Ovis aries: one gene and its partners. The protein of the gene in region 3 interacts with the protein of the main gene of each other region in a pairwise test. Links are inferred from orthologs where the notes say so. Each region holds a gene or a part of one and is shown on either strand. Other genes may lie near its edges. The genes, in order: KPNA2, KPNA6 and NUP50.

The links.
Region 1: the proteins of NUP50 (region 3) and KPNA2 interact in binary tests that used the Homo sapiens proteins (3 or more experiments, as listed by UniProt). The two-hybrid records come from large-scale screens. The link is inferred for Ovis aries from reciprocal best matches to the Homo sapiens genes NUP50 and KPNA2.
Region 2: the proteins of NUP50 (region 3) and KPNA6 interact in binary tests that used the Homo sapiens proteins (3 or more experiments, as listed by UniProt). The two-hybrid records come from large-scale screens. The link is inferred for Ovis aries from reciprocal best matches to the Homo sapiens genes NUP50 and KPNA6.

The regions. Positions count from the first base shown.
Region 1 is NC_056064.1:48,649,709-48,659,613, forward strand, and holds the start of KPNA2 (importin subunit alpha-1), read right to left. Parts: upstream 6,807-9,905; 5' UTR 6,705-6,806; intron 5,099-6,704; 5' UTR 5,076-5,098; coding exon 5,001-5,075; intron 4,852-5,000; coding exon 4,714-4,851; intron 3,047-4,713; coding exon 2,958-3,046; intron 1,816-2,957; coding exon 1,547-1,815; intron 1,384-1,546; coding exon 1,289-1,383; intron 1,195-1,288; coding exon 931-1,194; intron 744-930; coding exon 510-743; intron 273-509; coding exon 90-272; intron 1-89.
Region 2 is NC_056055.1:235,399,924-235,409,828, reverse strand, and holds the start of KPNA6 (importin subunit alpha-7), read left to right. Parts: upstream 1-3,879; 5' UTR 3,880-3,959; coding exon of another isoform or gene 3,960-3,963; intron 3,964-9,905. Other genes in the region: TMEM39B (transmembrane protein 39B), read left to right, coding at 211-453. UniProt on the Homo sapiens protein: Functions in nuclear protein import as an adapter protein for nuclear receptor KPNB1. Binds specifically and directly to substrates containing either a simple or bipartite NLS motif.
Region 3 is NC_056056.1:221,477,790-221,487,694, forward strand, and holds the start of NUP50 (nuclear pore complex protein Nup50), read left to right. Parts: upstream 1-5,233; 5' UTR 5,234-5,547; intron 5,548-6,117; 5' UTR 6,118-6,200; coding exon 6,201-6,247; intron 6,248-9,213; coding exon 9,214-9,292; intron 9,293-9,905. UniProt on the Homo sapiens protein: Component of the nuclear pore complex that has a direct role in nuclear protein import. Actively displaces NLSs from importin-alpha, and facilitates disassembly of the importin-alpha:beta-cargo complex and importin recycling.

The DNA of each region.
Region 1 (9,905 bases), on a different chromosome or scaffold from region 3:
GTAAACTTAGCTGCCCCTCACTTGTCATCTAAATAGTAAACCAATTATCGAGTCCAAATTCAAACAAATGCTGTCTTGTTAAGCCTTACCCGAAAGATATTTGAAACGGCATCCAGAATAACCAGAACAATTTTGGTATCTTTTGCAGTTAGGAGGTTCATCAACGGCTCTATTATGCCGCAGTGAACAAGGTACACGATCTGCTCAACAGTTCCGCCACTTGTATAATTGTTCACAGCCCATGCGGCTTCCTTTTGTGTCTTAAAGTCTGCCTAATTAACATAAAGAAACAGGTTTATTTTAGAATGGTCATAAAAATAAGATTCCAAAACTACTGTTTTAGAAGAAAGTGATTAAGACTTTCAATTGGTTCTATCCAAGCTAAAGTAAAAAGGCTACTATTATTTAGCAAAGGACTGTTAAACAGAACCCAGCATTAGTATGTTAAGAATCTTAAGAAATACAACTCTACCAAGTGCCTGCCCATTTAAGTCCTAAGGCTACAGTACCTTTGAGAGAAGGCCAACAAGGAATGGGACTAATCCATGATTCACAACTTGTTGTATCTGGTCCTGGCGGCCAGCTGTGATGTTTGACATTGTCCATGTAGCTTCCTTCTGAATATTAGTTTTGGAGTTTGTCAGCAGGCTGGGAAACACGGCAAGTGCTCCCGCATCTATTACAACCTGTGTTTGTTCATCTGTCCCAGTGACAATATTTCCTATGGCTCTGAGCGCAGGAGTCTGAAAGGAAAAAAAGTTGACGCTGGCAGTTATCTTTTATCTATTCCAGCACTACTCAAAATCTCTACACCCTAAAAGTTTTGACAGGTAAGAGGCTCATTATGGCCTAAAATATATAATATGTCAATATTAGTACCAACTAATTGTGCTCCTTATACTTTATACTCTCATTTGAAAATCAACTTACCACAATTGGCAATTCAGTAGCTCCTAAAAGCTTCACAAGTTGGGGTACAACCCCAGTTTTCACAACCATTTCAATCCGTTCATTTGGACCATCAGTAAGGTAGGAAATAGCCCAGCAGGTGTCAGCTAATACTTCCGGATCATCGTGATGCAGGAGACGAACTAAAGTAGGAAGAATCTGCTCAATAGCCTCTAAGGGGGGTGCAGGATTCTTGTTGCGGCAAAGATTTGAAAGCGTCCAGGTAAGATTACGTAAGTAACCACACTGGGGGGAAAAGAAACACGCAATGAAGTGGTTTTTTAAGGGGGGTAGGAAAATGAGAATCAGTGAGAAACGTGACTTATGCTAAGTAACTTACTGCTAGAGACGACATATCAGGCACAGCCAGAAGTGCCAAGAGCGGATCAACTGCACCATACTTGATAACCAGGTCTCGGAAAACGGAACCATCACCTTAAAAAAAAAAGAAGGCGGCTGAGTCAACCACTACCACCTGTCTAGTGCCATTAATTTCCGTTACAGAGTACACCAATGTCTTGACGCAACAAACACACTAAGACACGTATGCCAACCTCAGTATGACTGGAGACATTCAGCCAATTTCAAATCCAAGTACCTGCAATGTTTCCCAGAGCCCATACAGCTTGTTCACTGATGTGAGCATGGGGAGATGCCAACAGAGAAATGAATGCTGGGATAGCACCTCCGTCCACCACAGCCTTGGTCTGTTCTGAAGTCCCAGAAGCAATGTTAGTGAGGGCCCAGGCAGATTCGAACTGAATGGGACTACAATCAGTTCTTCCCAAGAAGGACACAAATTTTGGAATCAAACCAGCCCGGATTATGTTGTCAATAGGGGGCTGTTTTTCCCTAGAAAGCAGTTTCCTATGGGTAAGCAAAAAGAGAAACAAAAGTTGAAGGTGATTAACCAAACAGGTTCATACCAGAGGAAAAAAATAAAAACAAAAACACAATTTAAAACGCCAACTCGAGACCAAACAAGTTCATATAAAAAACACAATTTAAAATGCATCTTGCATGAGTACAGCTGTGGTGGATTCATGTCAATGTATGGCAAAACCAATAAAAGTAGAAAAAAATAAATAAATAAAATGCATCTTACACGGGGATGATCCAGAGAGATGATATGGGGTAGGAGGTGGGAGGGGGGTTCAGGATTGGGAACTCATGTACGTCCGTGGCGGATTCATGTCAATGTATGGCAAAACCAATACAGTATTGTAAAGTAAAATTAAGTAAAAATAAAAATTAAAAAAATAAAATAAAATAAAATAAAATGCATCTTAATCCAAGAGTTTAGAACTTTAAGTAACCTTTTACAGTGAAGACTAAATGCTGACATATCCTGGAATTTAAGAGGAGCTGAGCAGACAGACTGTTTGCATGGTGGGGTAGTGTCGTAAACTACTTTTCCCAAAACTGAAATATTACCAATGACGCAGAACCCTTCTCTCTGCAGAAATCTACTCCAGATCTTACCACTTTTTAAAAACTTTGACATACGATACCATCACAGTCCATTAATCCGCATTACTCTGGCCAGTGGTGGGGACACACACGTTTCCCCTGATCTTCTGCCAATTGGACCTGCTTTTCCCCACACTGTGAGGCTACAGAGATCATCAATCCTTATATTATGGATGTCACAGATAGCTGTGTATGGTGGGTGGGAAGAGTCTAATAAATAGAATATATTTATTTCCTAAATGGATGAACCATTCTAAATCAATGTGGTAATCCCAGTTACTGAATAATTCCTCCTTTCCCTGACATTGACTTGAAATGCCAGTGACAAGAAAACATTTCTGAAGTACACTAAAGTTATCACTGGAGGTAGATGTAATTTGAGGCAACTACAGAAAATTTTAGATTAGGAAAGATTATAATGAAAATTGGCCTAGGCCTGGCTTAACCTTTACTCTGCACCACCTGCCATTGCTTTCCCACCAAAAAATGTAAAAAGGCTGATTTCTTAGTTTACTCATGCTACAGAAGACAAGACTTACCTAGCAGCTTGAGTAGCTTGGAGCTGGCTTTCCAAATTGTTGCTATTTATGCCTTTGACAATATCATCAACAGACCAATTTACAGTGCCCTACAAGAACAGGGAAATTAATTTTCAAATTATCATTTTTAAGATTAAATACAATGCAATCCCAACACGAAGACATTTCTGTTTATAATCAGTTACTAAAGTTTAGTCCCACATTTAAATTCGCCTGTTAAATATTCAATATTTAATATATAGAACAATCCTCAAATTAGGTGTCATGACCAAATGATATCTTAAGTGATGGAGTATCCCAGCATCTAGTCACTAAGAAAAGTAGCTGTGAATAGGTTAAAAAAAATGAACTAGAGCACTGCGAAGGTTATTCTTACATTAGTCTCAATCACTTGTATTCAGATATGCTTTTAGGGGAAAAGGGACAGAGTTAGAGGCAATGTGCTGGGAATCTGAAAAGCTAAAGTTGTTATCCATGCATTTCCCCTCCGGTTTATGTGGTATTTATGCACACATAAACATTATAGGTAGTAACTACATATTGGAGTTAACTGCAGCATTTGCGAACCAAGCTACAGTTAACTCAAAAAGACAGTATCACATTCTCCCTAAAACCTTACAACAAGGACAATGTAAAATCTAAACACCACAGAACAAATGATTATATATATAAAACACTGTATATAGCATTATACAGAATTTACTCTTCATTTGTGGTGCAGAATGGGGTGCTGTAGGAATTCTGGGAAGGAAGCATTTTTCCTGTTAGGATGACCTAGAAGTGCTACAAAGAGAAGATGAGATTTGAGTATAAAACTTGAAAAACACAACACAGGTCGAATTCAGGGGGGCGGGGGGGGGGGGGGGGGGGGGAGAACACTGATAAAATGAGGAGAACTGAAGGAAAGCATAATGTGGGGGGAAAAAGCAGGAAACTGCCCAATATTTTTAAAAGATGAAAGATAAATTTAAAAATGTAGGATGGGGTTTCCCTGGTGGCTCAGCTGGTAAAGAATCCAGCTGCAATATGGGCGACCTGGGTTCAATCCCTGGGTTGGGAAGATCCCCGGAGAAGAGCATGACTACCCACTAGAGTATTCTGGCTTCCATGGACTGTATCGTCCATGCGGTCGCAAAGAGTTGGACACAACTGAGCAACTTTCCCTGACTTCTGATAAAATCACGAAGTCTCCATGAGTAGAACTCTAGGATGGGTCTAATTTCCAAAAAACCTTTTAAAAAGGATTTAGAATCATAAAATTTCTAAGATGTTTTAAGCAGTATTTTAAGAAAACTTTTAGGTAAACAGTAAGTGGCACAGAAAGAAAATCAAGAGACAGCTGAGGAAAAAGACCTGAAAAAAGCTGGTGACAACTACAAAAAAAAGAGAGGGAGGGAGGAAGGGAAAGGGAGAGAAAGAAAAAAAAAGGCAGGAAAAAAAAAAAGTTGGTTCTGGACATACTTTCACTGAACACTTGAATGGCCAACTCAAAGTAAAAGCTGGCAACTGGAAAAGCAGGGAAACTTGAAGGGGAGATCAGAGCTAAAGACAACCTTGGAATCAGCTTCCACAGATTACAGAGGATGGGCGGGGGGAAGATAATCCATCAGAATTACTGAACAGGAGCACACAAAGACAGATCTTCACATTTGATAGTTAAAACCCACAAAGCTAAGACATGTTATTTAAATATCTCAGAAAGGCCTCATATTGATTTTCTGGGTTTACCATAACTCATAAACTAAAATATCCTCACCTGGTTGTTGCGGTTTTCCTGCAGTGGAGAAGTAGCATCATCAGGAAAAGAGCTGACATTTCTCCTTTTCAGCATCTGGTCATCCTTCTTAGCTTTCCTTAGCTCCACATTCACTTCTATTCGGCGCCGCCTCATTTCCTTGAGAAAAGATAACGTATCATCTCACCTATTACATCAGTGTTAGGTGCCAAGTGAAGACAACTTTTTAAATTCACTCAAAGTGTGGACGCTCTTTCCAAATACCTTACCATTTAAAAAATACTAGAAAAACAACAGAAGGTACTCACTGTACTGTCTTTCCCCTTGTTCTTGAATCTGTGAAGGCGGGGAGCTGGTGAATTAGCATTCTCATTGGTGGACATGATTATGAGACAAAGGGAGAAAGCTGCAAGATAGGGGAGAGAAAAAAATTTCCTTTTTATCACTTTGTTTGGCAATAACATAGCATTAAGGGAATTATCAAATACACGTTCAATCCGTATTTCCATACTAGAGGAGGAACTTCCTTTTTCAGCACTATGGAACATGAGTTTTGGCCAAATTATATTTGGCCCCTCCCCTCTGAAGGGCTGAGGCTTCCAGGAGCAGTGCTGTCCATCAGAAATATAATGCAAGCTGTATAAATTTAAGCTTCCTAGTAGCCACGATTGTTAAAAGCAAAAAGGAACAAATGAAATTAACTTCAATAATATATTTTATTTACTCCAATATCTATTTTCTCACTTCAACACATTACATCAAAAAAATTACTGAACTATTTTGCATTCTTTTTTCATACTAATTCTTCGAGATCTTGCAGGTACTTTAAGCTTACAGCATTAACTCAGTTTAGACTAGCCACACGCCTTTGGTGACTATCACACTGCACAGCATGGCTCTAGACTCTATATAGGATCCATGAATAGTTAACTGAAGACAACGTACGGGATATAAGGTTACAGTTAAAATCTATGTCGTACGGGCCACAAATTCAGATCTGGAGGCTCTGCTGCTGCTGCTAGGTCGCTTCAGTCGTGTCCGATTCTGTGCGACCCCATAGACGGCAGCCCACCAGGCTCCCCCGTCCCTGCGATTCTCCAGGCAAGAACACTGGAGTGGGTTGCCATTTCCTTCTCCAATGCATGAAAGTGAAAGTGAAGTCGCCCAGTCATGTCCGACTCTCAGCGACCCCATGGACTGCAGCCCACCAGGCTACTCCGTCCATGGTATTTTCCAGGCAGGAGTACTGAAGTGGGGTGCCATTGCCTTCTCCGAGGCTCTACTGGCTTTAAACGGCCCAAACAGATACATTCTGCACGTTTGAAAATATTTAAAAATCTGATTCGTCGTTAACATTATGTAAACTTTCATAAAATTTCCTGCCCACCCTGAACACCTGCGACGCAGTTCAGCATCTCGCACGTTTTCATTTCCAGAAATTCTGAGTGAATGCACTAAATTAGGCTCTATCAGCTGCGTTCCACTCAAACTCACCTACTTAAGAGCAATCTCCCAAAAAAATCACAAAAGTCCTCCTTCAAAGTGGCTATCTTTAATTCCATTCTGTTCTTTTACGAAATCGTGACACAGCCAACCCAGGGCCTACAAATTAAGAGATAGCACTTCCAACTGCCACCTCCATCTGCAGTCCCCTCCCCTACCCCCTTCCCCACCCCCATTTCGGGGAAGCAGCAGCGGGAACCCGCGGAGGAGGAGCCAGAGGCGTCGGGCCCCCTACCGAGGCTTTCGTTCTCGGGCCTGACTCTAATAATTCTTACTCAAAGGCGATTGCAGCGGTTCGCAAGGCCTCGGGCACTAAAGCCCATGCACTCGCATCCACAGTGAAACACCCGTTTCGTCAACGAACTACGCCCCCAAGGCCTCATCGACCAGAGAGGCCGAAGCCTGGCCGGGCGTCTACCCCGGGACTCCCCTCCCGCCTCCAGCAATCCAAGAGCGGCCTAAGGACCAGCCTTTGTCGCTCCACCTGCACTGCGACCTCAGTTCGTTACCTACACAGCAAGCTCAAGCGTCCACCGGAGGCTGTGCGCGGCGCACAAGCTGCGGGATCTACTGCCTCCAAACGTCTACCACGGTCAGCCCGAGGACGGTGTGGCTCGTGCAGCCGGCCGGCGCGATTTAAATTTCCCGGTGGCTCCGCATTCCGATTGGCTGGTTCGAGCTTACGCTATACGCCCATTGGTGGATTTGAAAAACACGTTAGCTGGGGAGGGGTCAGAGGGCCCAGAAGTAGATAGGATAGCATCGCGAGATAAGGGAGCGGCCGCGCGATCCCTGAGAGCCTTGCAGTGCGGAGAAGAAAAACTCCAGATCCCGGCATGCAGCGCGCAGGGCCGGTTCCCTGTCCATCTTGGTCGGAGGGTCAGCTCTTTGCATGGGTTTACCGCGGTGTGGTGGCTGGTCGTTTTCCTGAGTGTTTGCCTTAACTAAGTACCACAAATGATTCCCAAAATAATTCTCTTTAAAAATCTTAATAAAGAAATATATTGCTATGCATTTTTCCCGATGGGACTCAGAAAGAACTTTGCCGGGGTCTCTGGACATCAAGCAGGGGAGGGATAAGGCAGATATGTGCTGCATTTGTTAGTTACTGTTTTTAACTTGTGTCATAAAAGACTGCATAGAAGGCAGAACTATGTTAACAAAAGCTTTATTAATGCCTGCTTCTCCAGTCTTATTTTTAATAATTTGAAATACAAAAGAACTGCAAATCTTTATCCATATTTGTTAAATGTTAATTTACTATTTTGATGTGTATGTATATATATATGTATACACACATGCACGTGTACCTCTATTTATATATACATGGCTTTTACATATTACTTTTTGAACCATTTGAGAGTAAGTTTGAGAAATCTTGTCCGTTTACCCCTAAATATTTCAGCTTGTATGTTGTAAGAATAAGGACATTCTGTTATATTACCACACCATAATCATCAAATTCAAGACAATTGAACTTATATGCGATTATTTATTCTGTGTTCAGATCATCAATTGTTATAGTAATGATCTATGCTATATTTTATATATTTCAAATAAAATGTTTGCATTTTCTTGTAATTTAAAAAAAGCTTCAGTGATAGTCATCAGAACCTCAGGATTATGGTCCACTTTCTTTTCGCAGCTTTTCTGTATCCTGAGAAGGGTATTTTTAAGAAAAGCTGTATTGGCTTTTTCTTTTTTTACTATGATTCAAACAATGAACTTTGTCCCTCCTGCAGGCATTTTTGCCAGCCTCACTCATTGTGTAACAGTAATGAGAGTCATGGAGGTTCCTTCTACTTCCACATAACCAATCAGGATAATCTTACCCCCCCTAAATGCACAAGGTTGTGGGATTTCACCTCTAAACCAGTCACTACATGGTATTCTCCAGGCTACTGTGAATGGTTCAGGGGCAGTCATGTGACCTAAATTCATTCAGTTGAGAAGCCGGATACCTTTTGTTTAATGATGAGAGGTAGGAAAGCAGGCTCTGTTCTCAACTGAGAGATGTGAATCCTGGAAATCCAGTAAGACAATTGGAGAGAAATCATGAAAACTTTGATCAATACCCTACCTTACTTCAAAAGGCTGCAATTATATGACTTTGCAAATACATCATCCAGTACACTTCCTTTGTTGTTTAAGCTAGTTATAGTGTGTCTTCTTTTGCTTACGAATACATATTGGGTACTATGTGCCCAGAAGTGTTCCAAGTTTTTTATCTTTGTGAATACATTTAATCTTCACAACTCTGTGAGGTAGCATTATTATCTGCTCCATTTCACGGAAGAGAAGAGTGGGTGGTTAAGTAACTTGTCCACATGCACACAGGAGTAAATGGCAGAGACAGGACTCAAACCCAGGCCCTGTCCTTCCAGGATCCATGCTCTCTGACCACTATTCCGTACTTGCACCTGAGAACAACCTGAAACAGAAGTAAACTGTCAACAGTGAAAGTTGCCTTTGACAGATGCCTTGCCTGGGAAAACACAGACCCCACCCACTCAAACCTTCCTATTGTAGTTGGGATGGAGATTCAGGAGAGGGCCTAGTGTAGCCTAAACCAATCCCATTCCATCCCCCAGACACAGGAATTGCTTTGCTGATGAAGATGTAACAGAATACAGTAAAATATTTACTGAGACTTTTGTGAGATATCCCCTCTCTTCCAATGGACTGTGTGCTATGATGATGTGAGCCTGAGAAGGAAGCTGAACCAGAGAGGCAAACTCAAGTGTGGCCAAGTCTGAATAATCATAGTCTGTCAGCCATTCTTTCAAGTAAGAACTGTGTTCCATCGAAAAGGCAACGAGTTTAGCCTATAACTCAAACACTGCACAGAATGTTTCCCCAAGAGACACTCACTGAATTTTGGTTATCTGGTAGAAGTGATTTATGCATAATTCCCATTTTGTCACATAAAATCTTAAAAACATGTATTCAAGGGTTGGGATTTAAATTAATAATTCTTATAGTGTCACCTCTTCCAACAACACAAGAGAAGGCTCTACACATGGTCAATACCGAAATCAGATTGATTATATTCTTTGCAGCCAAAGATGGAGAAGCTCTATACAGTCAGCAAAAACAAGACCAGGAGCTGACTGTGGCTCAGATCATGAACTCCTTATTGCCAAACTCAGACTTAAATTGAAGAAAGTAGGGAAAACCACTAGACCATTCAGATATGACCTAAATCAAATCCCTTACGATTATACAGTGGAAGTGAGAAATAGATTCAGGGGATTAGATATGATAGAGTGCCTGAAGAACTATGGACAGAGGTTCGTGACATTGTACAGACGGCAGGGATAAAGACCATCCCCAAGAAAAAGAAATGCGAAAAGGCAAAATGGTTGTTTGAGGAGGCCTTATAAATAGCTGTGAAAAGAAGAGAAGCTAAAGGCAAAGGAGAAAAGGAGAGATATACCAATTTGAATGCAGAGTTACAAGAATAGCAAGGAGAGATAAGAAAGCCTTCCTCAGTGATCGGTGCAAAGAAATAGAAGAAAACAATAGAATGGGAAAGACTAAAGATCTCTTCAAGAAAATTAGAGATACCAAGGAAACATTCCATGCAAAGATGGGCACAATAAAGGACAGAAATGGCATGGACCTAACAGAAGCAGAAGATATTAAGAAGAGGTGGCAAGAATACACAGAAGAACTCTACAAAAAAGATCTTCATGACCCAGATAACCACG
Region 2 (9,905 bases), on a different chromosome or scaffold from region 3:
CCACCGAGAAGTCCCAGGGAGGCAGTGGCCCACAAATAAAGGCAGATAGGTGACAAGGTCCATACCCAACCCCATGAAGTCCGACTCCCCACCCAAGTCTGCATGGGGCCCCAAGAGTTTGACCCCTTCATTGGCCACCCAGAACCCCCATCCAAGAGGCAGATTTCTGGAGCCTACTTTCCAGTCCATGCCTACTCTCTTCCTGGGTAGTTCTTTTTCAGCAAACCCCTGCGGATCCTGAACATCCTTTTGCTGCTGGAGGGCGCAGTCATCGTCTACCAGCTATACTCCTTAATGTCCTCCGACAAGTGGCACCAGACCATCTCACTGGCGCTAATCCTCTTCAGCAACTACTACGCCTTCTTCAAGCTGCTGCGGGACCGCCTGGTATTGGGCAAGGCCTACTCGTACTCGGCCAACTCCCAGAGGGACCTAGACCACCGGTTCTCCTGAGCCCCAGGACGACCCAGGGACAGCATTCAGGCTTCAGCCAGGGGCTCCCTGGGAAGTAGCTGTATGGGAGGGATGGGTGAGGGGCAAAAACAAAAACAAAAAAAATCCACCAGAGCTTTGTATTTTTGTTACATACTGTTTCTTTCTTTGATAATTGATGTGATTATGAGGAAAAAATTCCTATTTTTATACTCCCAATAAGCCTGTGTCTTGTATTTCTTTCCCCTCTTGCCTGTCAGGCAGCAAGCAGAGGTGTGGGATTCTGGGCCAGCAAGCCCCACGTGTGCAGCCTTCTCCAGTGGAGAAAGGATGAGGAAACACCAGAGATCAAGGTAGCAGCGGTAGCTGCTGTATGCCAGAGGCTGCCCTCCATGTAGTACAGGGCTGTCCTTAATCCCATTTTTATGACAACCCTAGGAGGTAGGTGCTGTCACTCCTATAGAAGAAAAACACAAGCTTAGGGAGCTACAGTGACTTGCCCAAGGTAACACAGCTAGGAAGTAGTGGAGCTGGGCCCCAAAACCCTCTGAAAGATGACACTGCTATCCTGATGTGATGTCCTGATTCTCAGCACACAGTCACTGAGACCCTGCTCCGTGCCAGGTACCACGGTAGATGGTGAAGATGCCAAGACACAGAAACAAACATGTCAATACACGCAGGTGATTATAACAGTTACAAGGTACAGAATGGCTCATGGGAGAGAACACTGAATGCTCTCTGGGCTTCTTGGAGGAGGGGTCAGTCTGAGTTGTATCAGCCACTTCACAGGGGGACAAGAGGAGGAAAAGGTGCTTCAAGCAGAGCAGTAGCAAAGAGATTTGGAACATTCTGGTGTATCCAGGGAGGGTAAGCAGAATGTGGTTCCTAGAACAGGAAAGATAAGGAAAGTGGGGCAGAGGTGGATTGGAGCTGGAAAGGTCTGCAGGGACTGGATCAGGGAGGCTCAATGGCTGTAGGCTAGGGAGATCAAGGCAGTCAATCCTAAAGGAAATCAGCCATGAATATTCATTAGGACTGAAGCTGATGCTGCAATACTTTGGCCACTTGATACAAAGAGCCAACTAATTGGAAAAGACCCTGATGCTGGGAAAGATTGAAGGCAGCAGAAGAAGGGGGTGATAGGATGAGATGGTTAGATGGTATCACTGACTCAATGGTCATGAATCTGAGCAAACTTGGAGACAGCGAAGGACGGGGAAAGCCGGCGTGCTACAGTCCATGGGGTCCCAAAGAGTCGGATAAGACTTAGGAACTGAACAACAAGGGAGGGGATGTGAGCAAGGCCAAGGGCAAGAATGGAAATGAAGCTGCTTGGAAGCCCTCCTGGCTCCGTGGACCACAGGATGGAGGGCTCAGGGGTTGGCAGGAGAAGAGACACAGTTATAGACACTCATCTAGTCTGAGCATGTCCCCTGAGTCCTTGTTCTGCCACAAGTTATACTGGCGCTCCCTTGGTGGTGCATAGAAGACAGACACTGCAGCAAATGTTTTTGGTGCTTTTGTTGAGTCAGGCATTGTGCCAGGCACTGGGACAGAGACAGAGATGAGGAAGATACAGTCTCTTCCATAGACAACCAGGAGAGAGAGACACCTCGTGAACAACTTAGGGTGCCAAGTGCTGAGGAAAATGTGTGTCCAGGGCAAGAGGGAGCAGAGAGGACATAGGCTGACCCTGTCTGAAAATGCAGGGACGTGGGCTCGATCCCTGGTCGGGGAAGATGCCACGTGCCTTGGAGCAACTAAGCCCGTGGCCCTTGAGCTGGTGCTCCAAAACAGGAGAAGCCATTCCAATGATAAGCCCACGCACCATAACAAAGAGTAGCCCCTGCTTGTCATAACCAAAGCCGACACCCAGCAAGGAAGACCCAGCACAGCCAAAAATAAACAAAAATACTTTTTAAAAAGCGTATGGAAAGGCACAAAAGAAGATAGGAGCATACATGGGAAAATGTGGTTTCCCAAATATGGATGGAGCCTGGATTGCCTGGTGGGGAGTTGCCCAAGAAGCCAGTAAGGACCAGCCTAACATGATAAGGTCTTTGCTTTTAAAGAGATGGGGGCAGGGAGTCGGTGCAGAGAATTCCCTGGTGGTCCAGTAGCTAAGACTCTCAGCTCCCAATGAAGGGGGCCTGGGTTCGATCCCTGGTCAGGGAACTAGATTCCGCATACAACTAAAGATCCCAAGTGCCACAACTAAGACTCACCATAGCCAAATGGAGCAAGTGGGAGAACCTGGACACAGGAGACCAGTGTGGAGACAGGTAAAACAGACCAGCAGAGAACAAAGGGGTCTGACCTTGAGCAGTGGCAGTAGGAAGAGGAAGAGAAGGTTCCCTTTCCTGACCCCGAATCCTAGAACTGGCGTTTTGAGTTGCTTCCGTCAATGGGCTGGGTACACAATTAGAGATGGCAATTTATTGTGACAGGACCTCGGCTCCCAAAAGATAGTTCTTCTTGGGATCCATGACAAAGACATAGCCTTCCTCTGTGTGTTGAGATGGGGAATAGGCGGACCGGAATGCAATTATGTAAAAAGGGAGGTCTAATGTGCACCAGCTATAAATTTCACGATTCAAAAGGCACATAAGGAACTTCCCTGGTGGTTCAGTGGTTAAGATTACAGGCTCCCCACTACAGGGGATGAGGGCTCGATCCCTGGTCAGGGAACTAAGATCCCACATGCCACAGGGTGCAGCCAACAACAACAGCAAAAGACACTTGAACCTCAGAGTCTCAATTTTCTCATCTCAAAATAAGGAGATCATATTCCTTGTTTTGTGTAACTCACAGATCTGTTCATTCATCTGTTTATTCATTTAATAAATATTTATGGAGCACATACACTATCCCATATACTGTGCTAGGTGCTGAAGAGCAGTAATAAAGGGTATAGAACCGACCCTCTGCCCTCAGAGAGCTTGCAGTAGGGATAAATGAAGCGCTCTGTCAACTATAAAGCCTGGCACCAGTGTCATTTTTCTACTTATCTCTCAATAGGATTGTAATCAGGTTTACTTTAGATTTCTTCATTTCCTTATCTCTATATCCTTGGGCAAGTCACTTTACCTTGCCGGATAACTCCTTATTCATATCCAGTCCAGGGTCTATGCGTGGTTTTAACTATTAATACAAAAGGAAGGAATGCCTTTTTGGAAGAAAAAGTTTCCAGGGGAGGACAACTCACTACAAACAGGAATAGTAGAAGAAGCTGAGAAATCTTAAGCAGCTTAACTTTATTTAGTAGGTGTCCCTCCCAGTTTTCCTCCACCCACTGCTTTCATATCTCATCCCAGTTCCCCGCCTCTAGCAGCTGCGGTCTCTTTAAACGAGCTCGTCTGTGTGAACTAGAGGCTGGGGCCGAAAGCGCGTTTCTTCCCGGTATTGAATGTTAAGTTGTTTGTCCATTCCGGGCTGCCGTCCTGCAGATCCGCCATATTGTCTGCTGAAGCTGCGGCTGAGGCTGCCGCCGCTACCGCCGCCAAGTAGAAGCGAGCGGAGCCGCGATGGGTGAGTAAGGAAACCAGGCAATTGGGGATTCGGGCTGAGACAGTCTCGGAGCTTGGAGTCTGGCGAGAGCCTATCTCCAGGCTGTAGAGGATGTCTGAATCTCCTCCAAATAGATTTGAGGGGAAAAGCCAGGCCGGGAGCGCCGCTCAGGCCAGTTTGGGGCCGGGTTAGGGCCCATGCGGGGAGCAGTCTTTGGGGGTTGGTTCCGGGAATACCTTGTCACTTCTGGAACCCCCACGTGGTGGCCCTGGGCCGGATCGCACGCGTTCCCGGAGGCTAGAAAGGGGCCGACCTTCTGGTCTGTGCCGGGCCTGGGCTTGGGGGCCGGGCTCCGGGTGGCAGGCCCGAACGACGCTGAGGGAGCCCTCTCCAGGCGTGTGTCTGACCGACGTGCCTATTAACTGGATTCACTGACTCCCCTGAACTTAGGGAAATCCTGCCTACGTCTGAGAGAGAAAGTCCTCTGGCGAAGGTACGCCAGGCGATCCGGCTCTAGGCCTGATAACCAGGGGCAGCCATGCCAAAAGCAGCTTGGGCCGCTGAAGGCCTGGAGAACTTCCCGAGCCGAGGCGGAAATGGGGTGGTTCGGCTGGGTTCAGAGTGACAGCCCTCATAGTGGTAGAAAAACAATGCCAATACCTCGTAGTCATGTATAGGTCGGGGACTTTAGGTTTCTAGGCCTGGCCCTGATTAGCAGAAAAGGAGCGACCTGTTGCTCTTATTAAAGGGACTCCAATCAGCAAAGGCAATGCTCAGAGAGATTACGATGGCGAAGTCTTTGGACTTAGGGACAGACCCACCAGTGGTACTTCTTCTCCAGCAATAAAAGCTGTTAAATTTGCTAAGCTCTTCCTGTTGTGCAGGCATTGTTCTGATTGCTTTACATGTCACGTTTTATTTAATTTGCACCATCTATTGAGATAATACTGTTATCCCAGATAAGGAAACTGAGGCTTAGGGAGGTAAAGTAACTTAGGCAAGGTCACACAGTAAGTGGCTTAAACCAGGTGGATCGCTCCAGAGCTCTAGTTTATAGCTGCTTTTTTTTGTGGCCTGGCCCTCTAGTGGTTGGGCTGGAAAAGAGGGAAAGAAAGCTTTTAATCCTAGGCAAGAGTTGTAAAGGTGTTTTGTTTTTGTTTGCTACTGGGCCTGCTTTGAAATCTTTAATCTGAAAGAAACTGAACAACTCCAAGGTGAATTGCTAACCCCAACTATTATGGGTGTTTTGGGGGAGGGGAGCTAAATGAGATTCTAAGATTGAGTTTTGTAAGATCCCTGATCCTGAGGAAACATAAATTATTCCCTTGAGCTGAACAACAATGAGTTTAGAATCAGATCTGGTACTATAATCCTGCCTACTACTTCCTAGCTCTCATCCAGAGAAGTCACTTAAGTGTCAAATGCAGTAATGCATATGGAAAACATCTAGCACAGTTCAAAATAAATGTTATTTTCCTTCCTTTCTGAGCCTTCCTTTCCTCTTCTCTAGAGAGGGGGAGGGGACAGTGTTACCCAGGTGTTTAAGAATTAAATGAGATTCCACATTGTCTGGAGACTAGTAGGGCTTCCCCAGTGGCTTACCCCAGTAGATGAAGAATCTGCCTGCAGTGCAGGAAGCACAGGAGACCTGGGTTCAATCCCTGGGTCAGGAAGATCTGGAGAAGGAAATAGCACCCCACTGCAGTATTCTTACCTGGAAATCCCATGGACAGAGAAGCCTGGTAGGTTACAGTCCATGGGGCCACAAAGGGTTGGACAAGACTGAGCACACAGGCACAAGAGCTCTACAAATATCAAAACAGATTCTTTTTCACCTTCTGTGTCTGTTCCTTTCTTTTAAGCACTCTAGTTTCCAGAATCCTTCATTAAGGCTGATAGGCCTGTTATTTGCAGTTACAAATAACTGCAACTTCATGAATGAATGAAAAATCTTAGGGACTTTTTTATGTTATAGATTTTGTGTTGGCCTTCAGTTTCAGCAACATTGCTGCCTCAACAGGGAAGGAGCTAATATTTAGTTTATTAAGCCCAGTGAAGTAAATTTGGCCATGATTTACTCAATTTTTACAGATTGGGAAACCACTTCAGAGAATAGAACACACTAGTTACAGCAAATCCAGAAGTGAGATTCTTACCCATTTTGCTGCAGAGAAACCTCTAAGTAGAATCACGTTAGTCCTTTTCTGATACACTTTGAAATGGAAGTTCTTCAATAGAGCAGCAAAACCTGACCAGGGTCCTGAAGGGGACTTTTAGTCTAAAGTCAAGTAGCTTCCCCTTTTTCTCTGCAACCCCACTTCAGGCCCCTCCCCCCACCCCATCCCACCTTGCACTTTGTCTTTCTGAATACTTAGCTGTTGGTGGTGATGTTTTGTGTGGGTTTTGTGGATTATTGTTTTGTTATGTGTGGGTTGGTTGTTTTTGTTTTCTGATCCTTATACCACAGAGTGAAATGCATCCTTACATTTAATCCTAACATCAAATTCAAGATGGTTTTGTGTGCGTGCTCAGTCACTTCAGTTGTGTCTGACTCTTTGCAATCTTATGGACTGTAGCCCTGCCTGGCTTCTCTGTCCATGGGGATTCTCCAGGCACAAATACTGGAGTAGGTCGCCATGCCCTGTTCCAGGGGATCTTTCAGATGCAGGAATCAAACCTGCATCTCTTAATGTTTCCTGCATTGGCAGGCAGGTTCTTACCACTAGCACCACCTGGGAAGGTGGTTTTGGTTATCCTCAGGATTCATGTCAATGTATGGCAAAACCAATACAGTATTGTAAAGTAAAATAAAGTAAAAACAAAAATTTTAAAAAAAAAGAGTAAACAGGCTTTGAGAAGATTTGGTGTTTAGTCCAAGGCTGGTGATCTAAGCCCTAGGGCTGGGGACACTAACACAGCCAGCCTCACACCTCCATGTCTAGACCCTGCCGTACTTCACTGCCTGACCAGCATACTCTCCTCAGGCTATGGCCTATACTATACTGTTTCTTCTGTGCCAGACTTCACTAGCCTTAACAGACCTTTGTCGTTATTTCATTGCTATTAGGAGTTTTGTAGGGGTGATGCTTGCAGCTCTGGAAGTTATTTGTTTTAACCCTCCTTAGCAGAGACCGCAGACTCTCAAGACTAAGTCTCGGCAGACATTGATTGTTTTTATCAGGTTCCTACCATCCTGCTTCCCCAGTGGTGCAGAAGTTAAAGCGTCTGCCTACAATGTGGGAGACCTGGGTTCAATCCCTGGGTCGGGAAGATCCCCTGGAGAAGAAAATGACAACCCACTCCAGTATTCTTGCCTGGAGAATCCCATGGACGGAGGAGCTTGGTGGGCTACAGTCCACGGATTGCAAAGAGTCGGACACGACTGAGCGACTTCACTTTCACTTTCACCATCCTGCTAACCAGGAATCTGGCAGCACCTTCCCAGCCCCGGGATGATTGATATAGCCCACTAGTCTTGATTGATATAAACTCTAAATCAATCATAATTCTATCTCTCTAGACAGTGATTGATTTAGGCATAGGCAGGTGATACAGATTTTGGCTGATTAGATGTGAAGGGAAGCCTGGAGGACTTCTGAAAAAGCCTTTCTTATTTGCCAAATTTTATTCCTTTTTGCCAGTTTATATTTTAACCCAGGTATCTCACCAAAGTTTGAGAACTTAAAAAGAAATGGGAAAGCTATAGTAATAGTCATTACTTGTATAGAACTTTCTATATGCTAGGCACTAAGTACTGTAATACTAGTTCATTTATTTCTCAGATTCTCATTCTAGTTGAGAAAACTGAAGCACAAAGAGGTTCAATAACTAATGCAAGGTCAGAGCTAGTAAACAGAAGAATCACTTCCTCAGGCAGTATGGTTCTAACCAAAATATGGGCTATTAAGGACTGTGTTCTGCCTCTGGAAAGAAAGGAGCCCTTTTCTGACTCTTGAAATTGCCATTCGCAATGCTGGGAATTCATGAGGCAGAATTTATAAATAAAGGGTCCAGACGGAAAGAATCTGATCTCTTTGTGATGTTTTGGAACTGTCACTGCCATTGGCCTGTAGGATACTGAAGGTTGCCTCTAGTTTGCAAAACCTTTCTAATAACCCCTGCAGGTCAGGAAGTAATCTAGAACATTCCTTCCAGCCTTGCCTCCCCACCCACCCCATAGTTCCTAATAACAACAGAGAAGGCGCTAAACTAAGTGTTCCCCAGCCTCAGACTCACTCCCGCGTGGGGTCCCTTTCCTGCATTTTTTGTTAATGGTCAGACCATTGGTCTAGACACTAGGGCATAAGAGAAATCTTACCCTTGGTAAGACTGGTTCCTTACTCTTTTCTGCCTTTCCTATATTGGCAGTTGTTGGATACTATGATCCTCTTACTGATGTCCTCCGTCATCCCTAAATTGTTTTGTGTACGTTTTTCTCAGAGCATAGTCCCAAAAAGACGATTAATTCTGTGGTCGTTAAACTTGCTGAGTCTCAAGCTCCTTGATGTGAAAATATAATAATACTGTTAATGTTGTTAATGAAGTGTCAGTGAAGTATCAATACTAGATGTTAGAAAATACTGTAGGTTGTAAAGGTGTCATTATTTCAGAAACTTTCTAAATCTCTTCTGTAACCTGTACCACAACCACTTCTGCTGCAGCAGTATTGCTAAAACCATCAGATCTTGTCACCCTACTCCTTAATTTAGGAACGTTCATGGACTCCTTATTGTCTGCAGGATAAAATCATAACTCATAGGGTGTGGTATTGAAGGCCTTCCTACTGACTCCATTTAATATTTATCCACATATGCTTCATTCCACTCAGGCGACCTCCTAGGTGTGTATTTCAGCTTTCCTGGTAGAGAAAGTGACAAAAGCAATCCCTTCCCCGCCCGTCTTTTCCTATGGAAATCTTGCCCCTTTTACAAGATCTGGTTTAAAGGCTACCTCCCTCAGGGACCTTTCCAAAATATGTACCTTATGCCTTTCAAACTGGAAGTGAACTATTCTTGTGAATTCTGTAGCACTTTGTTCTTGCCTTTCATATAGTCCTTTTCATGTTTTATCTTGTGTTATAGCTGTTTCATTCTGTAATTCCATTAGAACTTTAGCCAGTTGCTTAATCTCCAGAGCTTTATTTTCTTCATCTCTTAAAATAGGGATGATGATAATATCTGCCTCATAGGAGTGTTAAGGTGATTAAATGAGCAAATGCTTGTAAAGCATTTTAGCATGGTGTTTAGCACACCATGAGTACTCAGTAAATGATAACTAATTGCTGTTAGTCACTTCATTAGTACTTAAGAGAGTAATCAATTTGTCTTTTAGGGGAAGGCAGAAATATATTTAAGATTTACTTACTTATGTTTGTTTTTGGCTATGGTGGGTCTTTGTTGCTGCATGTAGGCTTTTCTCTGATTGTGGGGAGTTGGGGCTGCTCCTCCTTGTGTGCGGGCTGTATTAGTTGTGGTCCGTGGGCTTAGTCGCTCCATGGCTTGTAGAATCTTCCCAAACCAGGGATCGAACCAGTGTCCCTCTCGTTACAAGGTGGGTTCTTAACCACTGGACCACCAGGGAAGCCCAGAAAGCAAAAATACTATAAACACTTGTCGGAAACACGATGAGACAGGCGACAGTTATTCATCATTAATTTCAGCAAATGTTTCTTGAATGCCTACTGTGTGTCAGCTACTGTTCTAGGCCCTGGACATATAGCAGTGAATGAAACAGACAAAAGTATACTTTTCTAATGAAATCCTAGAATTTAAATTCTAATGGGTAATTGAGTAAAATTAACCAGATGGAAACTGACAGGCCAACTAGAGTCCCATGAGATCTGATTGATGAGTTCCAGCCAGTTGTTGCCATTACAGAATGTAGGTCTAATGTTGCCTTATTGCATAACTTCCCAGGCCTTTCCACAATCCCTTTCCCCAGAAGTTGGAAATCTGAATTTTCAC
Region 3 (9,905 bases):
CTATGCCTCAACCAGTAACGCTGAAGAAGCTGAACAGTTCTATGAAGACCTACAAGACCTTTTAGAATTAACCCAAAAAAGATGTCTTTTTCATTATAGGGGACTGGAATGCAAGAGTAGGAAGTCAAGAAATACCTGGAGTAACAGCAAATTTGGCCTTGGAGTACAGAATGAAGCAGGGCAAAGGCTAATAGTTTTGCCAAGAGAACACACTGGTCATAGCAAACACCCTTTTCCAACAATACAAGAGAAGACTCTACACATGGACATCACCAGATGGTAAATACCGAAATCAGATTGATTATATTCTTTGCAGCCGAAGATGGAGAAGCTCTAGACAGTCAGCAAAAACAAGACCGGGAGCTGACTATGGCTCAGATCATGAACTTCTTATTGCCAAATTCAGACTTAAACTGAAGAAAGTAGGAAAACCGCTAGACCATTCAGGTATGACCTAAATAAAATCTCTTACCATTATACAGTGGAAGTGACAAATAGATTCAAGGGATTAGATCTGATATACAGAGTGCCTGAAAAACTATGGATGGAGGTTCGTGACACTGTACAGGAGGCAGTGATCAAGACCATCCCCAAGAAAAAGAAATGCAAAAAGGCAAAATGGTTGTCTGAGGAGGCCTTACAAATAACTGAAAAGAAGAGAAGCTAAAGGCAAAGGAGAAAAGGAAAGATATAAGCATCTGAATGCAGAGTTCCAAAGAATAGCAAGGAGAGATAAGAAAGCCTTCCTCAGTGATCAATGCAAAGAAATAGAGGAAAACAACAGAATGGGAAAGACTAGAGATCTCTTCAAGAAAATTAGAGCTAGCAAGGCAACATGTCATGCAAAGATGGGCTCGACAAAGGACAGAAATGGTATGGACCTAACAGAAGCAGAAGATATTAAGAAGAGGTGGAAACAATACACGGAAGAACTGTACAAAAAAGATCTTCATGACCCAGATAATCACGATGGTGTGCTCACTCACCTAGAGACAGACATTCTGGAATGCAAAGTCAGGCGAGATTTAGGAAGCATCACTACGAACAAAGCTAATAGAGGTGATGAAACTCCAGTTGAGCTATTTCAAATCCTAAAAGATGATGCTGTGTAAATGCTGCACTCAATATGCCAGCAAATTTGGAAAACTCAGCAGTGGCCACAGGACTGGAAAAGGTCAGTTTTCATTCCAATCCCAAAGAAAGGTTAATGCCAAAGAATTCTCAAACTATCACACAATTGCACACATCTCACACGCTAGCAAAGTAATGCTCAAAATTCTCCAAGCCAGGCTTCAGCAGTATGTGAACCATGAACTTCCAGATGTTCAAGCTGGATTTAGAAAAGGCAGAGGAACCAGAGATCAAATTGCCAACATCCGCTGGATCATTGAAAAAGCGAGTTCCATAAAAACATCTATTTCTGCTTTATTGACTATGCCAAAGCCTTTGACTGTGTGGATCACAATAAACTGTGGAAAATTCTGAAAGAGATGGGAATACCAAATCACCTGACCTCCCTCTTGAGAAATCTGTATGCAGGTAAGGAAGCAACAGTTAGAACTGGACATGGAACAACAGACTGGTTCCAAATAGGGAAAGGAGTACATCAAGGCTGTATATTGTTACCCTGCTTATTTAACATATACGCAGAGTACATATGAGAAATGCTGGACTGGATGAAGCACAAGCTGGAATTGAGATTGCCGGGAGAAATATCAATAACCTCAGATATGCAGATGACACCACCTTTATGGAAGAAAGTAAAGAACCAAAGAGCTCCTTGGTGATAGAGAGTGAAAAAGTTGGCTTAAAACTCAACATTCAGAAAACTAAGATCATGACATGTGGTCATCACTTCATGGCAAATAGATGAGGAAACAGTGGAAACAGTGAGACTTTGTTGTTTGGAGCTCCAAAATCACTGCAGGTGGTGACTGCAGCCATGAAAGTAAGACGCTTGCTCCTTGCAAGAAAAGTTGACCAACCTAGACAGCATATTAAAAAGCAGAGATATTTCTTTGCCAACAAAGGTCCGTCTAGTCCAGGCTATGGTTTTTCCAGTAGTCATGTATGGATGTGAGACTTGGACTATAAAGAAAGCTGAGCACCAAGGAATTGATGTTTTTGAACTGTGGTGTTGAAGACTCTTGAGAGTCCCTTGGACAGCAAGGAGATCCAACCAGTCCATCATTGGAAGGACTGATGCTGAAGCTGAAACTCCATACTTTGGCCACCTGATGTGAAGAACTGACTCATTGGAAAAGATCCTGATGCTGGGAAAGACTGAAGGCAGGAGGAGAAGGGGATGACAGAGGATAAGATGGTTGGATGGCATCATCAACTCAATGGACGAGTTTGAGTGAAGTCTGGTAGCTGGTGATGGACGGGGAAGCCTGGTGTGCTGCAGTCCATGGGGTCACAGAGTCAGACACGACTGAGCAACTGAACTGAACGTGTAATCCTTGTATCTAGATAAGCAGTCTTTACACACCAGTCCATGAATAGGCTTTCAGGAATGGTTCATAAACATCCTGAAATTATATGCAGATTGGTTCCCTACATGATGATGTTCTTGCGTGCTCAATGTGCAACTCTTTGCAACCTTATGGACTGTAGCCTGCCAGGCTCCTCGGTTCCTCGGATTTTTCCAGACAAGTATACTGGAGTGGGTTGCCATTTCCTTCTCCAAGGGATCTTTCCAACCCAGGGACAGAGTCCACATCTCCAGCATTGCAGGTGAATTCTTTACTGCTGAGCCACTAGGGACGACATAGATCAAGATGTGGTGTACACACACACACACACACACACACACACACACACACCATGGAGTATTACTCAGCCATAAAAAGGAACGGATGCCATGTGCAGCAACATGGATGGACCTAGAAATTATCCTACTGAGGTAAGCCAGCTAAAGACAAATATGATATTGCTTATATACGGAATCTAAAAAAGTGATACAAATTAACTTCTTACAAAACAGAAATAGACTCACAGACATAGGAAACAAACCAGGGTTAGGAAGGGGAGATGTGGGGGTGGGGCATAAATTAGGAGTTTGTGATTAACATATACACAGCACTGCTATACACAAAATAACCAACTAAGGACTTACTGTATAGCACAGGGAACTATGCATACATTTAAAAAGCATTCTTGATAGATTACATAAAAGGACAATTTTTTTAAAAGCATTTATTGATCTGATTGCTCCCAGAGGTGGAAATACTCTACAACTCAGAAATCATATTAGTGTTTAGTACCAGAAACTGTAAGAAAACACTTCAATTCAAACCCAACATTTCTACAGCTTTGCTTTCTTCACGGCTCTATTCTTCAAGACTTCCTCAGTGGCCGCCAAGAACGTTCCCACCTCTTGATTCTGCGTGAACGCATGCTAACTTTCTTTGCGCTTTCAAGTGTGGACTAAAACATATAGCCACACCCTGAAAGCAGACAGTTATTTTATTTGGTGGGATGTTTCGGACTCCCAGCCCAGGAGACAGCATCTCAATAGCTCTCAGACAACTGCTCCCAAGAGGCAGGAGGGAAAGTCAGGCTATACACAAGTTTGCAACAAAAGGAGCAGGCAAGTCTGAACATCAAAGACCAGGTATCACTGAATTCACTCCCTTCATAAGCACCTCAGCCATCTGGAACCAATCCTGTTTCCTCATTCACTTTGTTTCTTATACTTCTTGTTTATTAATAACGCAGGAGATGTTTTCATTTCACACATTTCGTGTCCAACTCTCTGCGATTCCCCTAGAATTCTCCAGGCCAGAATACTGGAGTGGGTAGCCTTTCCCTTCTCCAGAGGATGTTCCCAACCCAGGGATGGAAGCCTGGTCTCCAGCACTGCAGGCAGATTCTTTAAAAGCTGAGTCACCAGGAAAGGCCAAGAATAGTGGAGTGAGTAGCCTATCCCTTCTCTAGGGGATCTTCCCAACTCCAGAATCCAACTGGGGTCTCCCTCATTGCAGGCAGATTCTTTGCCAGCTGAGCTACCAAGGAAGCCGGTATTTCACACAAGTAAATCATAAACCCTGCCTGGAGGAAAAAATAAGGTTAAGAACCATGGTTCATAAGAACGTTCCTTTTCTGAAGCAATTTTTGCTGACTAGTAACGGATCTAATTCCCATAGCGACCTATTAACTGTAAGGCAAGGAGCGTTTAAATTGCTTTGTACAAATTTATTCATTCTCTCACAGCTCTGTTTGGAGAAGGTAATGGCAACCCACTCCACTATTCTCGCTTGGAGAATCCCAGGGACAGAGGAGCTTGGTGCGCTGTCGTCTCTGGGGTCTGTTGGTAAAGTATCCGCCTGCAACGCAGGAGACCCATTTCGATTTCTGGACTCTATCGTCCATGGGGTCGCAAAGAGTTGGATACGACTGAGCGACTTTCACTTCATTACTGTACATGGTACCGCACTACTCAGGCAAAAGCATACGAATACACCTCTTGACCCTGGACAGTCGTATCTGTCCCACAGTTTAAAAAAACGCGTTTGCAGACGTCATCTTCGTTGATACCGACTAGCGGTGCAAAACGGCAAGTCCCTTCGCCTCTATGGCACCCACCGCGGAAAGGAAATACAAGCTGGCCGCGGAACAGAGGACGTCCGCTTCTCTCGTCCACGCCCGCGACCTTCCCTCCCGGGCTCCGCGAGTCCCAGACCTTCCGAGCATCCGCGGCCGGCGCGACGCAGGCACGTGGGGCAGCTCTCGTCCACGGCTGAGGCACCGAGCTCCCGAAGTGACGCTACCCGAGTTCACTCAAGCCTCCGGGGGACACGACCGCTCCCTTCTCCGAGCTCCAGCATCCCACCCGCACACCACGAGCGCCCGCCACGCGCCCCTACAGCCTCCGCTCTCCCACGCGCCTCCGGAACCCCGGCCGCGCCCACAACCAGCAGCCAACCGCGCGCGACCGCCTCCAACGCGGACGGCGCCCACACGCGGCCGACGCGCACAAGCCCCGCCCCCCGGGGCGGACTTCCTGCCGGAGCCAGAGCGTGGGTTGTGCGCTTGCGCGCGCGCATGCGAAAGACGGGGAACGCGCCTTCGGCGACGGTTTTTTTCCAAAGCAGTTGGGCGCATGCGCTGCGAGAGGCCCGGCCGCTGCCGTGGGTAGTGCTGCCAACCGAGGCTCCGGCGCGCTTGCGCAGTAGCTGGACGCGGGCGTTTCTTTCCTCCCTTTTTTTTTTCGAATTGATCGGGAGGGCTCGATTCGAGTTACAAAATGGCGGCCTGAGGTGTGTGGGGCCCTGTTCTCTCAGCCGTCTCCTGCTGAACGGACGGCTTACCTCCCCTCACTGCTCAACGCAGAGAAACGAGAGCCCCCCAACCCCGAAGGACATGCTGTTTGAGACTCAGGGGTTGCCGATCACCGAATCCTTCGAGGCTCTCAGCACACCAGAAACGACCGCGCGCCGCTTCAGACCCGAGTGCCGCGGCCGCCACCTCGCACCTGCTCGCCGCTGCGCACCCCGGCTTCGCCGCGCCCGCAACCCAGCGAGGGCCGCCGCAGCCACCGGAGAGGTGAGGGGCGGGCCGACTGGGCGGCACGGAAGGGGCGGGCGCCGGGTCTAAGAGAAGGAAGCCGGGCTCCGGGTGCCGGACCCGGGCCTGAAACGAGGAGCCCGAGGAGGGTGGAGCGCGGTGCGGGGCGCCGGCTGGGGACGCGGCGCTCGAGGGAGCGGAGGAGGGTGGGGCGCGGTGTCGGCCGCGACGCACCCCGGCGGGGTGTTTGTGAGGCCGGGCTCGGGGCCGGCCTGTCGGGGCTGCGGTGTCCGACTTGGGGACGGCCGGGCCCGGGCGCGGGGCCCCTGCGGCCCCGGCGGAGGCGGGAGCCGGAGAGGCGAGGGGCCGTCCTGGCTCGGTGTGTTCCCTCGCGCTTCTTTCCGGTGCTCGTCTCGCTGCGCTCCTTCCACCACCCTCCTCCTGTACTGCAGCCACAGGCCCCTGATCACTTGACTCCGTTCGATTAAGAAGCAATGTTCGAGGATTCCGTTTTCCCCGAGCGTTTCAGTCTCCGGGGGCCGGCCCCAGGTTCCATTTTTCCTCCGGGGATCACGGTGTCAAGTATGTTCCAATCTGTTCCCGTCTTAGAGTAGACCGACGTGGACCGAAGTCACCCCAAGGTGGGGCAGCCCGCGGTGGCAGAGATCACAGAATTCCCTGAGCAGGCACGCATGAAGTTTCCCCAGTTACCGAAAGTTTTCGATTTTCCTGTCCCGAGGTATGCCTCATACCCAGTAATCATGTCATGATTTGGTGCCTCCTAAACCACAAGCCCACATTTTTTTTTTTTTACGTTCTTAGATCTTAACACTGAAAGACTGGAGGTGCCAGGCTTTGTTCTAAGTACGTTACCGGCACTTTTCCCCTTTTTCAAAGAAATGTGATTGTCTGAAGTACCATGCTTTGAAATAAAACATGGATTTGGTAAAGTCTTGTTTAGAGCCCGGTTCATAATTCAAGTTAATTTTGTTTTTCCACACTGCAACCTTCAAGTTAGGGAGGGAAGGTATTTTAGAGCCTTTGTTTCTGACAGAGCTTTTCTCTTTGAAAAGATATATTGAGTCCTACCTCGGTTCCAGCCACTCCTCTAAGCTAAGCTTTTTGTTTATAAATTTCACAGCACCTCCCTGTTGTGAAGTAAAGAAATGGAGGCACAAAAATGAAATAATTTGCCCAAGGTCTTCAACAACACCATGGCAAAACTGGATGCTAACATTTTGTAGTTTTCTCAATTTTGCAGTGTCCCAGATCTCTGATTCTAGATCGTCTATTGTGGAGGGGGGCGGGTTTTGAGGTACCTGAGTGAGTGAAACAAAGATACCTGCCCTCTGGTTATTCTTTGATTTGATAAAAATGGAGATTGGATAAATATGGAATAGGAAATGAATTGGCTGTGTTAATTTAGGTTCTTTGACTATGCCGGTTGTCTTCAGTTGTGGCTATGGGTTAGGTGTTAATAGTTTTAACACTTAAAAGTTTTTGCACTTTCAGCTCCACTCCTTTTTGCCTGTTAATAACTAGTTAGGTTATCAAGTTAATAGCAAAAATAGACTATTTAAGTTTCTCCCCTCTTCTGCCCTCTGGTGGAGGTGTTAGTTACTGAATGGGAAAATGGCCCGAAAGAACCCACACAGAGGCCTGGCCTCTGAACAGTTAAAGTTTACTAAGAATTTATGCGGAAGGGTACCTTGTTTGTTTTCTGGATGACAAGATTAATAGCAAAACTTGACCGAGTGTTTGGAATGGAGGCATTAAAAAAGATTTGCAAGTAATGACAAAATTATGTTAATTCTCACGTTTTAGAATCTGGGACTTTAAAGCCATTTATTCTGTAATCAGAAAAAAAGCACTTGGTAAAAGAAAAATTCAGAGATTATTAGGAGATTATTAAAAGCTGAAAATTGCTATGTGATTATCCTACCAGGGGATAGGATTTTGGAGGACTTTGGAATGCTTGCATTTGAATTTTATGTTACAGATCATACTGTGCCCCATGGGTGATGTGTCAGTTTGTATCTTAATGACCAGGAGCTTCTAGGAACTTCTCTGGTGGGTTGTGGTCTTGAGGGCAAATAAGAGTGGGGAAGGACTAGGAAGGAAGCTAGGCTGGTTTTCAAGAACCCTGGCTAGTGTTCCAGGCTAATCAGTAAATCTCTGGGCAAGGTAAGGAGTTTTTTGGCCCATTTAATTGATGTTAGGGAAGAGCCAAGCACAACACTCACAGTGGAGCTCTCCATTGATTGTTTCAGATTTTAATAGCAACAGATACACATCTTAGGATCAGAAAATAAACTGGAAATTTTAAGGTGTGAATACATGGAGTCGGACACAGCTTAGCGACTAAACAACAACAAGCCTTGAATAGAAGTTGAGCTGATGGCTTCTTATTCTTTTTTGGGGATTTTTTTGTTTGTTTTAAATTTATTTTTTAATTGGATGCCAATTGCTTTACAATGTTATGTTGGTTTCTGCTGCTGGTGGCTTGTTAGTGAAGAATTAAGAATTCTAAGAATGTTAACACAGTCATGTTAATCATATTTTGAACTGTCCTCAACATATGTTGGGATTATGTCACAATAAACCCATGGTAAGTTGAAAGTACTGTAAGTCGATCAAACCTACTGAAGATCATAGCCCAGCCTACCTTAAAAGTGCTCAGACATTAGCCTACTGTTGGGCAGAATCAACTGACACAAAGACTGTTTTATAGTAATGTTGAGTATCTCATAATTTTTTGAATACTATACTGAAAATGAAAATCAGAATAGTTATATGGGTACAGAATGGTTGTAAGTATATCCGTGGTGTGGTGGCTTGGCTAGCTGGCTGGGAGCTGTGGCTTGTTGCCACTGCCCAGGATCACAGGAAAATATCATACCTTATGTTGCTGGCCTGAGAAAAAGTCAAAATCTAAAGGAAGGTTTCTACCTAACGAGTGTTGCTTTTCCACTATCATAAACTTGAAAACTTGCAAGATGAACCCTTGAAGTCAGGGACCATCTGTACTCTTGTAGTGAAAATAATAACTCATTCACATTCTTGACTAAGGTCAAACTTTACTAAATATCCTTAAGAGAATTTTAAATATTAAAAATATCTTGCCTATAGCCAGGCTGTGTATAAATGTAATTTGCATGGAGTTAATTGAGCATTTGTTGTTTATTATGCAGTTCTGTAGATTTCTGATTTTTAAAAATCAGTGTATGATCAGCATTTTTTCAAATGGAGTTGTTTTATTGTTTTTCACTGTGCCTTAGAAGACCTCGCTGCCTTCTCCTGTAATTTTTGTTGGATTTGTGACACTGGGAGCCTAACAATGTTATACCATTCTCGTTAAAGAAGTGCCTACTGGTATCAGGAATATCTCATTTCATGCTAAAGTAAATTTTAAAAATTTGTTGTAAGAGTTAAATCATGTTTTAGAAAAGCAGACTTACTACTGGGTGCGTTGGTGGCTCATTGGTAAAGAACCCGCTTGCCAGTGCAGGAGACGTGGGTTTAATCCCTAGACTGGGGAGATCCCCTAGAGAAGGAAATGGCAACCCTCTCCTGTATTCTTGCCTGGTAAATCCTAAGGACAGAGGAGACTGGCGGGCTATTGTCCAAAAGGTTGCAAAGAGTTGGACATGACTGAGCGACTTAACAACAACAAAAGCTTACTACTTCTAATCTTTTTACCTTTAGGTTCAAAAAAATGGCCAAAAGAATCGCCGAGAAGGAATTGACAGATAGGAATTGGGATCAAGAAGATGAAGCAGAAGAGGTAAAAAGTGCTTTCCCTAAGAATGATTTCCTGCTACTTCCAAATTTAAATTTGTTTTGTGATTCCTCGTGAAGACTTTGTCGTAAAAATAAAAGGCCTTTTCAAGAGCATCCTGATGTTGAAGCTGAAACTCCAGTACCTAGGCCACCTGATGCAAAGAGCTGACTCATTGGAAAAGACCCTGATGCTGGGAAAGATTGGGGGCAGGAGGAGAAGGGGACGACAGAGGATGAGATGGTTGGATGGCAACACTGACTCAATGGATATGGGTTTGGGTGGACTCCGGGAGTTGGTGACGAACAGGGAGGCCTGGTGTGCTGCGATTCATGGGGTCGCTGAGTCAGACATGCCTGAGCGTCTGAACGGAACTGAACTGGAAATAATACGGTTTCTTATGATCTGTGCTTAGTGTAGAAATTAAAGGGTGTGCTTTTCGATTAGCGACTATTCCTTCAATACTCTACTCCTTTGTAGAATCACCTTCCTCCTGAATTTCATATAGCATTTCGTTGCGCACACTCAGCCCATGGTTTTAGTCCAGATTGAAGGCTGAGTAAATAATCTAGTTATAAAGTAAATTTGAAAAGTGTTTTACCACCAGTGTCTTAGTTTG